Drosophila melanogaster: one gene and its partner. The protein of the gene in region 1 interacts with the protein of each later gene in a pairwise test. Each region holds a gene or a part of one and is shown in the gene's direction. Other genes may lie near its edges.

Region 1 (7,936 bases):
TCAACGTGACCATGGAGAAGGTGTTAAGGCGATGCAGTCGCCTGCTCCTCCTACTGCTGCTGCCACTTGTCAGCTTGTGTCCAAATGCATTGGCACTCAATCGACAGGCGGATGCTGGCCAGGCTTTGGATATGGCAGCGCAGCTGGCGGATGCGGAAGCCGAAGCCAGGCCGGATTACGATGCCGATTCCCCGGATACGCCGCACATACGCAAGAAGCGACTCATCTGGATTACGGATGATGGCAGATTGGCCCTGCCGCCGGGCACTTCGCTGACATTCGTGCCAACCATTGCCATGCCCCTGGTTCGGCATCCGCCCGAGGGATTCTTCTCCAACCTGACCATCAGTTTTCCCGTCACCAGTGCGTAGACAGCTCTCAATGTCAATGATTAATCAATTAACTCTGATTTTTGTTGCCTCAATCCACAGTTGACTTCGACAAACTGGGCCTGACAGACAACCAAAATCCTCTGGGGGATCTGCCGCCGCTGTTCGCCCGCTCCTTTGGTCACGAGGCAGGCCACATGGTTGGTGAATATGTGGCGAGGTATCTGCATGTCCAGCGCAGGAAGAGGGATCTCAGCGAGCAGCGGAGCAGAAGCAACGAGGATCATCCCTTTAGGATACACGAAGAGGGTCCAAAGTATCCGGAGCTGCCAGCCGGACTGCAGCATATTTTCCATGGCGGAGAGCGGGTTTTGCTCTATGGCGTAGTGGAGGACTTTCTATCCACCTTTGGCATGGATGGCAAGGCCTGTTTGCTGAGAACCATTTGTGAGATGCACTCACGAAGTTTGGAGAAGTTCGGTGTCTTTGGAGAAATGACAAAGCTATTTTTAACGTGAGTAATTTCCTCCTTTCAATCGTGATTCTTTGTTACACAGATCTCTCTTATAGGGTAACCAAATCTCCGTTTTCCGACCTGGTACCCGACTATGTACAAGCCCAGGAGGTGGGCGAGGGAAAGCAAGCACCAGGAGAATGTTTTCCCTACTTCAAGGACTGTCCGAAGAGTATATTTAAGGCCTTGTCCAGCAAGTATAGCAAACCAGCTCCTGCGAGCAAGACGAAAAAGACAAAACCCACAGACAGACCGGTGGGCGAATATCATGAGGAGCAGGTCATTCAACTGCCCACCACTCGGGATCAGGACAACAATGTGTATATGTAGAACAATGACCAACTCCCATGCGAACCCCTATTGTTGACCTCGTCTAGATGTTAGGATTACGATTGAGTTGAGCGCGTCCTCAAAGTCACTTGCTTGTAATTAACGTGTACTAATTAATTTATAATTATTTATTTTATTTACGCATTGTATTTATTGTTAGTCGTAGGCGTTGTTAATTGCTTAGATTTGTATCCATGTTTGTCTAGTGGTCTGTAAATAATTGAAATTGTGGCATAATTCCTTCCTTTCAACAAATGAAAACGTGTCGAATGAATAGAAAATAAATTTCCCTTGAAAGGTGCTTTATAATTGTTTTCATTCAAATAACAACTTACGGCAATAATGGCCAAGATATGTACAACATTGCGTTTTTAGATTTAAACTGGCGCCAAAAACGACAACTGCCTGCATTGCACAGCACTATCAGCAGTTACAAATCAAAGTTTGAAACCAAATTAAAGTGGTTACACTGGCAGCTAGATTTGGGTACTCTCCATGTTTTTGTGAAAGTAATATATGAAGCAAAATAATACTTAACGGTACTTAGTGCTCGGTTTGTAGTTATGTAATTACTTAACTAATTGCTCATTTTAAAGGGAAGATTTAAATTCAAATTTTGTGTATTTATAAGAAGAAGAAAAAGGCACTTCTGACAACTATCGAGAGTAAGACATCGATAGCGTAACGACTTATCGAAGGAACCGTCGGTCGTCAGACCATCTCTAGGTCAGCTTTGTTTTGGTTTTGCAGCGAAAAAAACATCAGCGTCGTGAGTTCTCTTCGCTTATTTACCAAGCCTCCCACAAACAAGCCAGAGCATTACGTGTTGCACAGATGTTTGCGGATCGTCGAGGAAATCAATAAACGAAAGGTGAGTGCTCCTGGGTGGGGGCCAGCTGGCGCTTCAGAACCGCGAAAAGGCGGTGCTGTGAGTCAGGCGATGCGATCGCTGATTGAATTGGATTATCACGATAGGAGCTCCCATCAAATTGCCAGCCGGCATTGTAGTTGTTTACATTGCGCGGACGTGGCGCAATATATTTTTAATCTTCTGCGGCAACCTGCTGATTAAGATACCCCCGAACCGTTTCATTGTATAGATAACTTGGCAGTTGAACTCCGGAGCTGGAAGAGGATGGACACGAACGCTGGGGAGTCGCTGGGAGCATCGCCGCCCTCGAGCAATGAGGCAGCGGCGGGATCACAGTCCCAGAGCGATGCCTCCGAGGAGGAGGAGTATCTGGACAACAGTATCGAACTGAGGGGCTATCTCAGCAAGTGGACGAACTACATCTATGGATGGCAGCCACGCTACATAGTCCTGAAGGATGGTACACTCTCCTACTATAAATCCGAATCGGAGTCGGATTTCGGGTGCCGCGGAGCCATCAGCCTGACCAAGGCCACCATTAAGGTAGGACGGCCGAAAAGAGAGAGGGTGGAGCTCCTTCCCCAAGTGCTTTCAATTGGACTAATAAAAAAGTAATGGGCGTGAGTGTGTGCGCATGTGTTTGCGACACATTAACCAACGATGACCGCGACCTGAGGTCTCCGTTTCCATTCCCAAGCCAATACACCCATTCCCAATCCAATTCCGAGCGACGCAATCAATGCAGCGCAATCAATTAACGTTGGGCGACCAAAATAGACCAAAATTGAAGTCATCAATGTAAGTGGGGTACCCCTCAGACCTAGGCGCTGCTAGAAGGCCTTCTGTTGACAGGAGGGCGTGTTGTTCTAGGAGGGTGTTTCGCCATGAGTGTGTACTTATCTATTTATACTGTAGGAGCTGCCAAAAGCATATACACAATGCTGACTCACTAGAAGCGGCCCTTCCATTCATTCGCCTTGACTTTGCGAACACTGATCTTATTCAAAGATATTGAAGCCTCATTTAGTTCAAAGAATTTTTCCCAACAATCCAAATAATAATTATCACCGATTTAATCGATCATGATTGGATTACTTGGATTACTTTACAGTGAAACCAGCTCACTTGTAGTTTAAGTTACTAATAATTGGATTTATTTGCAAGTGATTCATTTAAAATTTTAATTAATTTTCACAAATTTCTCTTAGTGTTTTGACTCATTCAGGTTCCACTGTAATTTCCATTTGCCAACAATAATCTTGTATTCGGGTGTTTTCCTTGTTGATTTCATGTTTACCACTGATTTGCGTTCCGCTATAATCAACCATTCAAAGTTAATTAGGTTTTTTTTTCGTCGAATTTATTGTATTTCGTTTTAATAACTGGCTTATTACTGGCATGAAATTTTCATTTAAAATATAAGTAAGATAAACCGTTTATTTGTACCTATTTTGTGCCTTTTACTAAGTTCAAGTTTATTTTTCTTTTGTAGGCCCATGAGTCCGACGAGCTCCGATTCGATGTTGTGGTGAACAACTTAAATAACTGGTGCCTGCGGGCAGAGACCAGCGAGGACCGCATGCACTGGGTGGATGTGCTGCAGCTGTACAAGGCGGACTCCGGCAGCACGGACACCACTTCCTTGCGCCGCCATGGCAGTACCATGAGCCTGCAATCGAACACTATCTCGCTGACCAGCGGAGGAAGCCTAAAGAAGACGCAGCGCAACCTGCGCGAAAAAGTCGGCGAGCTGGAGACCTTTAAGGATATACTATTTGGACAGATCGAGACTCTGCAGCGATACTTTGATGCCTGCTCGGAGGTGAACAAAAACAATGCGCAACCACTGGACCTGGGCGACGGTCTGAAGTCCATCGATTTCAAGGTAAAGTAGTGCACTTATCGGGCCATTGGTATATGTACAGTGTACTAAGCAAAACACTCGATTTTCTCAGGGCGAATCCATCACGTTTCGGGCCACAACGTCCGGCGTGCTAACCACCCTGCAGCATTGCCTAGAAATCATCGCCGAGAGCGATGAGTCATGGAAACGGAAACTGGAGCGTGAAATAGATAAGCGTCGACGTTCTGAGGACCAAAGCAAGTAGGTTGACCTAGTCGGAATAGATTCCTACAAGAAGAAGCAATTTCAATTACCTTTTTTGTATTTGCTTGAAAACCATACGTTTCTTTAAAAATTATCATGCTATTTCATGGTTTAATTTATTTAAAAAAGGATTAATAATGTATTTAAATTTAATGTGTACATTCATTTCTGAAGTTTATTCATTTAAACGATATTAAAACTATGGTAAAATTCTATGTTTCTTCTTTGCAGAAAGCTCAAGGATGAAGTTGAGAAAATGAAGCGTCTATCGTATCCTGGCCCAGATTTCGAGGTGAGTTCAAGTTTACAGCTCTCGTAAAAGCAAAAGCGTAATCGCATTCACGGTCATTGCTGCTCAAATCGGGGCCAAACACGTTCCCACTGAAAATGCAAACAATCGCCGAATGAGTGGCGCGAAATTCGTATAAACGATTTGCGTGCGATTTGTCGGCGTCTTAAAATAAACTGCCTGATTCGACGTTGTGTCAGAGATTTCATCATATGCAAGGAAAGTAGAACACGCTGGACTATTATTCAAGCGTTTTCAATTCGATTATGGAATGCCAGTATTTGGTTCCGAATTTTGGCTGACACGAAGTTCCCGTGTTCGTGTTAATCTGGAATTGGTCATGCAATATCGTTTTTCCGCTTACATTTGTTTGCCCAATCAATTCCATTTTAATGGCATATGTCCACAATAGCATTAGAAAAATGATGCTCTCCTACGAATTGTAAGTGCTCAACTTGGTTGTTATTCTTGGCTCGGTTACTTGGCGACTACTCAGGCTGAAAGACTGGGCGTCTAGACGGTTTCATTAGGCCTGTTTGACAGTTGGGCGTAGCTTAAGATCTACTTCGAGCCAATATTGCAGATATTGACGTTGAATAACGATCCAACCGTTGGCTAGAATGCACTTTGTGCAACGGGTATATTAACTATTACGTCTTCAGTGATCTTCATATGAAAATTTTGTTAGAAAATCCCGATTTAAGTGAACAATATATAGTAAACATGTACGTGATCTTTCACTATACGTTCAAGCTTAGAGCATTCAATATGCGGCTCACTTTTTGAGCTGTGGCTTTTAGCCTGGCTTACAGCTGTCAGGTTTATGGCTTATGAGCTAGGCTGGTCAGTCGGCGGTTAGCGATCGAGTGGCCAACACGTAGCAATTATAAACAAATTTGCTAGGCAAACAATTCAAAACGAGACTGTTTCTTTTTCATATTGGTCGTGGCATTTAATTGAGTGTGCAGATTGTGAAATTTCTTGCGTTGCATTGAAAGAGCTATAATAAATAAACAAGTGTACACAATTGTAGCAATCGCTAGTTCATGTTGCAAATATAAAAGCGCCGCACGCATCACTGTACAAATATACAAATTTATAAAATTATAAACAACGTCAACGCTATGCCCTCGGCGCGATTTCTGTGGCGCTCCGGCGGATTTCAGAAGGGCAGCGTTAAAAAAATAAAGGTACACTGAATTAAAATCATAAATAATTTACATAAAGGAGTGGTGGAATATATTTTTATAATATGTGTTTCGTATGGAAATATTTCAAGGCGTATTATCACTTTTATAAACAATAAACGTTTCAATATATCTCCAAATAAAATTTGATAACACTTTTAGTAATTTTGAATTTTTTTTCTATGTGCATATATAGCTGATAAAAAATATTAACAAACATCGTTGTGTTTTTGAAAAATTTCTAATCAGCTATGAATGTGGAATGTCAAATATTTTTTTATTATGATAAAAGTATTAGTTCGGAAGCATTGCTTTGATAAAATAATGGTATTTTTCCTTAGTGTATGAAATGTTGCCTAAAATAAGTTTCATAAAATGTTGATGTTGGTTTTTTCTAACCAAATTGGCCTCATTAGTGGGCCACCCCACTCGCTTTTGAATGTTGAATGTTTGAAGTGCGGTGGCCAAAGAACCCCAAGAATTGATTTATTATTTAAATGCAAGAAATCCTATCCATTGGAGCTTTTTGCTCTGTGCGCTTTTCGCTTTTTACTCTCAGTCGCCCGCTTTCTCCTGCTCTCTTTTTTTGGCCTTCTCTCTGCTCCGCTCATCCTGGCCAAGTTGGCCAGTGCGTTTGGGCCACCAGCAACAGTTTGTTTTGTGTCCTTGTGCTCGACGGAAGGATTCGCCAGGACACAAGTGCGCTCACTTTTCCTGCTTTCGCCTGCCACGCAACCCTTTCTCTCTCTCTCTTTGGCTCTCTTGCGGTGCGATTCCTGATTTTTTCCTGCTGAGAAGGAGCCTAATTTTTGCCGCCCAAAAACCTCTTCGCTTTTGTTGGGTTCAACTGCAACAATTGGTGGAGGAGCCTGGTAAGAGGAGACATAGCGACGCCACAGGAATAAGTACGCATATAGCCCATGTCTTCATTGTTGGTTAGCTGCGAGTGCCGCTTGGTCAAGATGATTATGCACTCGAATTCACGCCGCAGGGTGTATTTATTTCACCGCCTTTGGCTGCGCACATCTCTGCTTTAATTAATAAATATCAATTCAATTCCGCACAAATTCCATTCGAGGCATTTATTTTGCGCCGGTTGCCGTTCTGGGGATACACGCGCCAGTCGCAGACGTCAGAATGTGTACAGTGAACACTGGCTAGCACAGAATGGAGCGGATGTATACCTCTAAAGGGCCGAACTTCAAGGGACACTTTTCCTATATATCAATCCTAATTTCAGCATAATATTCTAAATACTCTCAAAATATTATGATTTTGTTTGTATATTACAGTAGCAATTTGGTAAACTCTGTTGCGAAATTCGAAACACATTGTTAGGAGGAAAAGAATTTTATAAATGGCAAATTTATCAACTTAATTAAATTTCGGCAGTATTATTGTGTAGCTTATTGGTGGTTTTTCCCCACGAGATGCCACTGCTTTAATGGGATTCAGTACCAAGTACCAAGCCCCGTCTGGCGGTCTTCTGCTTTCGTATTCATGGCACAATGATGCGCCTTTGTGTCCATTATGCTCGCCCAATTACGCATGCCAGCCGACTACGAGAATCTCCGCCTGGCGACTGGTCAGGGTATGGAATGGGCGAAAAAACAACAGCATAAATTTGATTTTCTTGGGCCATTTGGCCGCACAAGTGTCGGCGATTAATTTATACAAAGCACGTTCCATTTCTTTCCAATTGGATTGAATGCGGTTTCGTCATTAAAATTAATTAGGCCGAACCTTCAAAGATGCTTTTGGGCTAAACTTGACTTAGTTTGCTCGATGCTAATGGAGATATATGTATAATATGACATTTCCCTTTCAATTTCGCAGGAGGGTCCACATTCCACATTGCCCGAGGATGAGTTCTTCGATGCGGTCGAAACGGGCCTGGACAAAATCGAGGAGGACATGCAGCTGCGCTTCAAGCTTAAGCTGCAGTCCCAGATCTCCCAGACACTGGTCAACGTTCCACACGAGGCGGTGGCCGAGGGCGAGGAGGCGCGCGAGGAGTTCGGCACGGGTGCGGAGGCCACCAGCCATGCCCTGTGGCCGGAGGTAAGACCGGAAATTGCCAATCTGGCCCCCTAACGACCAGCCAATAATTGGATTTATCCCGCAGATCGATCGCGTGTGCAAGGAGCAACTGCATTACGCACGCGAGGGCGTTGGCCAAGACGGCAACGGCTGGCAAATCTTTGCCGACGAGGGGGAGATCAAAATGTACAAACGCGAGGAGGAGGTCAACGGGCTGGTCATGGATCCCTTGAAGGCCTATCATACGGTGCAGGGCGTGACGGCGAGGG
Region 2 (7,499 bases), 4.5 Mb from region 1:
CTGATTCTTTGAGTAACAATCCACCATCCTCAGAAAATAGACGAAAAGCCCCATCCCAAACATCTTACCCAGTACTTAGACGTATTCAAAGAAATGATTCAAACAATTCGCAAGGCGGAAGATTCATTTCGGCCAGCAGCCAATATCCTGACCAGCACAGACAAGATGAATACCTAGCTTGTGATAGAAATAATAGTGACCAAAGCCATCGCGATAGTCATCAAAACGAGGACGGGTCGCATAATTCAGCTATGGTTGGAGCTTCTGGGTATTCTACTGACTTAACTTGGACAGATCCACCTCCGAACTCCCAATTACTAGCTCCCAATACATCGACTGACGTGGAAACACTGGAAACGGTAACCCTAATGCAACCTCGAAAACTTCGTAGTTGTGAAAGTGCTGGGATCAGAAACCAGGCAAATATCAATGGGAACACCGTTCTTATAGAGACAAGAACTCCCTGTAACAGGGAAATTCTACTCCAGACCTGTGGACGACCGCCCTGTAACTCGTGTCCTTATCAATACACGGGTCTTCCTCCGAGTCTCCATCAAGGATTTACGAAGCCACCGGATCATATGCTACAACCGCAGATCTCTGTGAGTGCTCCACAAAATGTCACTCCTTTCGATGAAGGGTACCTTATAGATCCGCGGGATCAGTGGATGCCCACTAAGTCACCAGCTTCAGCACCAGCCGTGCAGCATCAATTTCAAATGAAGGAACAATGTCAGCCGGATCATGGATCCTATCATCATTTTCAGGAATCTGTACATACTTCAGACCCAAGTTCCTCTCAGGCCAGAAACCCTGACTACAATCCTCAACTAAAAGAGAACATTCGAATGCTTCCAGATGGATTCTATGAACGCACCGTGAATAAGTATAATATAACACGCATGGATTCCAACTTCCAGCCACCGGAATTTTCACTGCAGCCAAATTTTGTTCACGGAGAACAGCATCCTACTTTCAGACACCACGCTTGTCCTTATAGCAATCAATATCATCATCCGCAACTGATGATGACATCCGTTCCAGATCCCAATCGACGTTACATTCCACCACAAAACCAATACCCAGCCGAGATGTTTTGGCCACAGCAAAATGTACATTTGGATTACTATGATCAATCGGAATACCAAATTTAATCCAAACAGTTGGAAGAATACATTAAATTAAAATTACTTTAAAAACAAATTAAAATTGTCGTTCTTTTATTTAAAGTAAAAATATGGTAGCAGATCTATAAATATCGAACAAAATCTATCTTTTTAGAAAATCAGTACACAAAAATTTCAAAAACACATTCTAAAGCTTTTTTTTAAACCATCGTATAAAATCAAATTAAATTAAATTTTTAACTTAACTGAAGTTTTATTGAAAGCGTTCGATGTTATAATTTAAATATTGGTTCATTTAAGTGTATTTCAATTCAAATATCCTTCGATTTAATGGAAAAAAATAAAAATTTGCAAAACATTTTTTTTCGCGCTCAAAATGGTGATGCAAGAAGTTGATGACTATCGAAACGAATCGATAGGGTAAAGCCCGCATATCGGAACACCGCCCAGCTCTATTAACTTTTATCGATAAAGGAAAACAACATTTGTTTATATGACTAATTTACTCTTACACTCATTGTTTCATACACGCACACGATCGGAATCCGAATGAATACGAACGCGACCAATACGAAAACAATGGCCAACATTGTTGATAAGATAAGATAACTCCCGTTTCCAATGTCTTTGCTGTCTTTGCTCTAATGCACATATATCGCGCTGCGAATGATTCGAATTTGTTCAGCAAGTACGCCAAGAATTGTCAGTAAACAATGGCAACTCACGCCGAAAAGGAGTTCTACCACCTGGTACGTAAGCCCAAAGGAAAGCCAAGAAAACCGCCAAGAATACCCACAGCAGATTATAGGCACACGGATGTTGTCATATCATGTGCATAGTGTAAATACCTAAATGTTTATGCACACAACTACAGGCGCGCCGCTCAAATATGCATAAACATTTCACTTAAGAAGTCAGCCTTGAACCAGATTATATGGAACAGCTCGAAATATCATCAGCTTTTCACACGACTTGCAACACCACAGAGACTACACTACATGCTAATCCCAAGTTTCTCCGCTTCGGATGACCCAGAAAATTAGAAACTGCAATGAATGCTATGCGGACTACATCCACTTTGATCAATTGTTCAATGTGCACACAAAGGCCTTTCAAATTTTTTGATTATCAACCCAAATTCGGCACGATAAGAAGTGAAATCCAGTATTTAGATTACCTTCTGTTATCATAAATTCATATCAAACACATGGTGTAGGTGTTTGGAATCTTATTTTTAAAAGCATCGAAATGTTTGCACTTCCAAACTAAATAGTCGATCAGTGAGTCACCCCCTTTAGATCGAATTCCACTAAAAAGTATAAAACTATAGATATCGTCCGCCAAAATCCGTCCATATCTTATAAGCTGAGTCAGTCACTTCTTCGAAAGTGTACAACAATAAAAAGCCATTTAAACTATAATATTTACATTTCATTTCAGAACGTCAGCGTGTCCAAAGCTTTAAATGGCCTGGAAGCGCCACTCAAAACCAAACATGCCCGCTCCATTATTATTATGATACACAAGGCCAAAGAGGCCAAAACATTCTGGATGATCATCTCCCGGCAGCCTTTGATGCAGAGTAGATTTACTGCCTGGAAGTTTTCGCATCTGCTGCACAAGGTCCTGCGAGAGGGTCATGAAAGTGCCATCCGCCACTCGCAGAGCCACAAGAAGATGATACTGGAGGTGGGAAAAATGTGGGGCCTGCTGCAGGACGATATTGGATGCTGCATACAGGCGTATAGTAAGCTCTTGGCCACAAAATTAAACTTCCACGACAAAAATCGAATGTTTCCCGGCACCCTGAACATTTCGTTCACGGAACTCTTCATTGCTGTGGATAGGGATTTAAATTATTGGTAAGTAAAAATAGATATATATTACTTTCAAACTACTGAGACAGAACCATTGATTCCAGTTTTCAACTGTGCGTGGAAATTTTCGACTACTTGGAGGATATAATTGCGCTGCAATTGACGATATTTTCATCTATGGAAAAGTACAGAATGTCGTCGATGACACCGCAGGGACAATGTAGATTAGCGCCAATAGTTTGCCTTATCCAGGATTCCAATGCGTTGTACGATTTAAGCGTTCGGTTAATGTTTAAACTACACGATGGTGTACCATACGACGTTGTTTCCGGACACAGAGATCGCTTTCACGGTCTGTTTTTAAAGTTGAAGAGTTTTTACAACAACGTGCGACCGCTTCAGTATTTCAAGGACCTAATAACAATCCCGGAATTGCCGGACTCAAGTCCTAACTTCAAGTCCCAAAACGATTTCACCAGTTATGTACCGCCAGTGGTTCACGTTCCCCAGGAGCCCGATCCGGTTGTTGAAGACCTTGTGGATACCAACAATCACGAGCTGGAAGCCTTCAGTCAAGCCCAGCAGCAGCTTAGCATGTTGGAGGGTATAATCAGCGAGAAAGAGGCTAGCATTGAGGAGCTGTCATTCAAATTGGACGCAATGCAAAAAAATTTCGACGCACTGCAGCAAAGCTACAGACACGACGTTCAGGAGTTGCAACAGAACAATACTGTGCTGTCAAATGATCTGGTCTTGGCGAGAGAAATGTGTGCCACCTTTCGGATGCAAAATGACGATCTTGAGATGCAACTGAATCAGAACCCAATTCTTTTACGTAATTAAATGCTTATTAAACATAATGAAGTCATATAAAAATACCTTGTATTTCAGAAAAAGCTATGGAGGAAGAAGAAAAGCACAAGTTGTCGTCGGAAAAGTTTAATAAACTTAAAACTCTATACACAAAGATTCGAGATGAGCACATTCAGCTGCTGAGAGAGGTATGCAGAAACACAATATTTTCTATTTCCTATACTAATATTCATTCATATACTTTTATATCAGCAAAGTGATTGCAACAAGTCCTTAAATAAAGAGAAACAAGTAAACTCACAACTATTGTTGGAAACTAAGGAGCTTACCAATGAAATTTCCAAAATTAAAGTAAACGTAGAGGAAAAAGAGAAAACAAACTTGATTCTGCAAAAGCAAATCGAAGAGCACAAGGAGAAAATAGCACATCTTGAAGCAGTCAAAAACGAGATGAAGGAGAAATTCGATGATGTGGTTAAACAAAAGGAAATTCAGGAACTCGATATTATTTCCACTTCCGAAAACCTGAGGCTAAATTGCCTCAAAGTCGAAGAGCTTAATGGAAACCTCAATGACACCCTGGAAAAACTGTCGAACGCCGAAAGCCAAATAAATGCAAAGACCGAGGATATCGAGAAAATGCTAAAAGCTTTTGAAGCGGAAAAGGCATTGCTCTTAACTCAGATTGAACAACAGAGTGTTGAAAGTAAAAGCCATAGTGAAGCTCAAAACGCTCAATTGCAAGAAATAATGGATAACTTGGAACAAAAGGATAAAGAGTTCAATGAAGTTAAGCTTCAGCTGTCCAGCGCAGAAAGCCAAATCAGCTTAAAGGCATTGGAAATTCAAAACAATTTAAAGGCATTTGAAGCGGAAAAATCAGTGCTATTAACTAAAATAGAGCAGTTAGGTATAGAGCATAAAAACAACAGCGAAGCACAAAATGCTCAATTGCAGCTAACTTTAAACAACTTGGAGCAAAATGAGAGTGCATTACAGGTAAATGAAACCAATTTAAATCAAGAAAATTATAGAAACTGCTTTTCTTTCTTCAGCAAACCCAGGAAATTGTGAATCAATTGAGGCAGGAAAATGCTTCAGCGGGTCAGCGTAACGAGGATTTGCAAAGCAAACTCTCGCTTACTGAGGTAAAACTAACCCAAGCAACACAGCAAATTGATGCCGTGACAAGTTCGTACCAAATCTGTAGTACCGATTTGAGTGAACTCAGAAAATTGGTGATCAAGACTGTAAAGGAAATATGCAATTCGAAGTTGAGCGGATCGGAACAACAGCCTTTGGATGCGGTGCCAAACATAATACGCGAAATGGAGACCATTTTAAATAAGTTCAATAACGCATCGGCTATAAACTATGTTGCTTCAACCGAAGGACTGCAAAATGTTATGTATCTGGGTTATGTATTTATAAAACTATACGATCAATGTGATGTTATCTACAAAACAACAACTGCAATTGAGACAGGTCAGGGTAAGTTGATAACACTAAAAACATAACCACCTACAGCAAACTAACTTTGTATTACTTATTTTGCAGAAATTTTCTCAAAAACAAATTTGTTATGTACCGATATCTGTCAATTGTTCCAATACTTATTAAATAATGAAACAAAAGAACCCGAGAGACAGAAAACAATCACTGATATACAAACAAAGCTGAGAGATATTGAAAAGCTGATTGAGAAAATAAAGGCATCATTTGAACAGAAGATTGATTTAGATAAGCTGCTCGAAATCGAGCTTCGCGAGATGGACGCTGCGATTGATGATGCAGCCTCCAAAATTACAGATCTACTGGCAAAGGCTCGAGAGAAGGACAACCAAACCAATTTAGAGGTAAACGGAAAAATAGTGGATGCGTGTACCACCTTGATGGAATGTGTCAAAGCTCTAATCCAAAAATCTCGTCTCCTGCAACACGAAATCGTGGCTTCCCAAAAAGGTAGCTAACAATATTTTTTAATTCAATGAAGTTACTGACAAGTAATTACTCTTTCAGGAAATGCGAGTGCTAATGAGTTTTATAGGCGGAACAGTCAGTGGTCAGATGGTTTGATATCCGCCTCGAAAAGTGTGGCGAAGGCAGCCAACTATCTGGTGGAAGCTGCAAACAAGGCTATTGAAAGTGAATCTGGCAAGAACTTTGAACTCATTGTGGCTGCCCAAGAAATTGCTGCCTGCACGACCCAAATGGTTATTGCGAGCAAAGTCAAGGCTGAACGTAATAGTCAAAAGCTAACCGACCTCACAAAAGCCTCGCGAAGCGTAACGCAGGCAACAGGAACTCTGGTCGCCACCGTGAAGGATTGCAACTCCCAGCTGGAGCAGCAGAGTGAAATAGAACTTTCTAAGCTAACGCCATCACAGATTAAAACGATGGAAATGGAAATTCATGTTAAAGTACTCGAAATCGAACAAGCTCTCCAAATGCAACGACTAAAACTCTCATCGTTTCGTAAGGAGCATTACAAGAATGCCGATTATTAAATACCATATTTATTAATGTTACTAACTTTACAAACATTCTTTTTTGTATTAATGCCCGTCATGACAAATAATATATCTACACAATATTTACACTGCGGTCATTTTATCCTACAATGAATCCGTAATATCTGTTTATAGTATTCCGTGTCGATCGCTTTTTGATCCTTGATTTATATCACACCATAGTATGTGGGTTCATTATTTCTTAAATGTTTATTTTACTTACTACTTGAAATTAAAATAGCACTTATTGCCAAAGAAAATAAAATGTAACATTTGTTGTCAAAAGGTTTTTGTTTATTATCACGAACCGACCTATTGCATTTTATAAAACGGCATGTTCACGTTCATCAAAGACACTTTTAGCGTAGTTTATCTAAAAGAAAAAGACAAGTATGGAATATATGTGATAATCATTTCAAAATTTGTAAAAGTAAATAAATTATATGATAAACAAAGTCTGCGCTTCAACAATAATAGTTTATTATTGAAAGATAATTTCTACTAATTTCTGCTAAGATGATTTCTACTTACGCATCTTGATGCTGCCTCAGCACATTCCTCGGAACGACACCGTATCCTGGGCCTGGTAATCTTTGGAAGATTGGTTGATATCTCGATGTAGTGACTGGCCGACGCCCTGCTGCTCGTGGTTGGCGTTGTGCCGGCATTCGTTACCACTGGATGGCACGAAAGAATCTCACTAACATGACATTCAAACATAATGGTTGGATTGGCGTCGCTTAGTGAAAAGATTCGTACGTATTCTGTAGAAACCAGCAAGCGCAATCTAGCCTCCTTGTCGCTCCATAGATTGGGTTCATATGAAATTATCTTCTCCGAAAAGTTCTTTTGATTGATTAGGTACAGATATTGCTGCCCCTTGCTTTGGCGATTGGAATACAATGGCAAAAGACCACCAGGAGCACCAGTCACACATCTGGGTAGCCTTTTCCTTTCCGGAGCGTTTCTGTGACTATCTCGGCTTGTTTCACGAACGGCACTGGCAGTTTCCGATGCCAGGTCCAATACACCAATGATCGGTTTGGTGACAGTGCCTACTAAGCCCTTTCCCAATCCACTGAGAAAGCCAGGAACGCCATCGGAAGTGGCACCATCGTAAGTGTGTCTTACAATACTCGTTACTCCGCCCAGCAGTCCAAATCCGAGACCCTTCAGACCCGCTGCAAGGTGACCGCCGGATGTATTGGACTGCAGTTCCAGAATGCGTTGCC

What was found.
Region 2: the proteins of cert (region 1) and Hip1 interact in a two-hybrid assay, tested with the Drosophila melanogaster proteins (one large-scale study listed by BioGRID).

Annotation. Positions count from the first base shown.
Region 1 is NT_037436.4:8,283,821-8,291,756, reverse strand, and holds the start of cert (ceramide transfer protein), read left to right. Parts: upstream 1-1,886; 5' UTR 1,887-2,044; intron 2,045-2,273; 5' UTR 2,274-2,308; coding exon 2,309-2,587; intron 2,588-3,536; coding exon 3,537-3,929; intron 3,930-3,999; coding exon 4,000-4,148; intron 4,149-4,382; coding exon 4,383-4,443; intron 4,444-5,287; exon of another isoform or gene 5,288-5,564; coding exon of another isoform or gene 5,565-5,630; intron 5,631-7,463; coding exon 7,464-7,688; intron 7,689-7,752; coding exon 7,753-7,936. Other genes in the region: CG7201 (uncharacterized protein), read left to right, coding at 12-363, 432-843, 900-1,173.
Region 2 is NT_037436.4:12,767,652-12,775,150, reverse strand, and holds Hip1 (huntingtin interacting protein 1), read left to right. Parts: upstream 1-1,577; 5' UTR 1,578-1,840; coding exon 1,841-1,876; intron 1,877-1,931; exon of another isoform or gene 1,932-2,407; intron 2,408-2,567; coding exon 2,568-2,989; intron 2,990-3,048; coding exon 3,049-3,779; intron 3,780-3,835; coding exon 3,836-3,945; intron 3,946-4,009; coding exon 4,010-4,756; intron 4,757-4,812; coding exon 4,813-5,248; intron 5,249-5,314; coding exon 5,315-5,719; intron 5,720-5,776; coding exon 5,777-6,264; 3' UTR 6,265-6,589; coding exon of another isoform or gene 6,590-6,640; 3' UTR 6,641-6,719; downstream 6,720-7,499. Other genes in the region: CG32106 (uncharacterized protein), read left to right, coding at 1-1,154; Vps13D (vacuolar protein sorting 13D), read right to left, coding at 6,590-6,640, 6,799-7,499.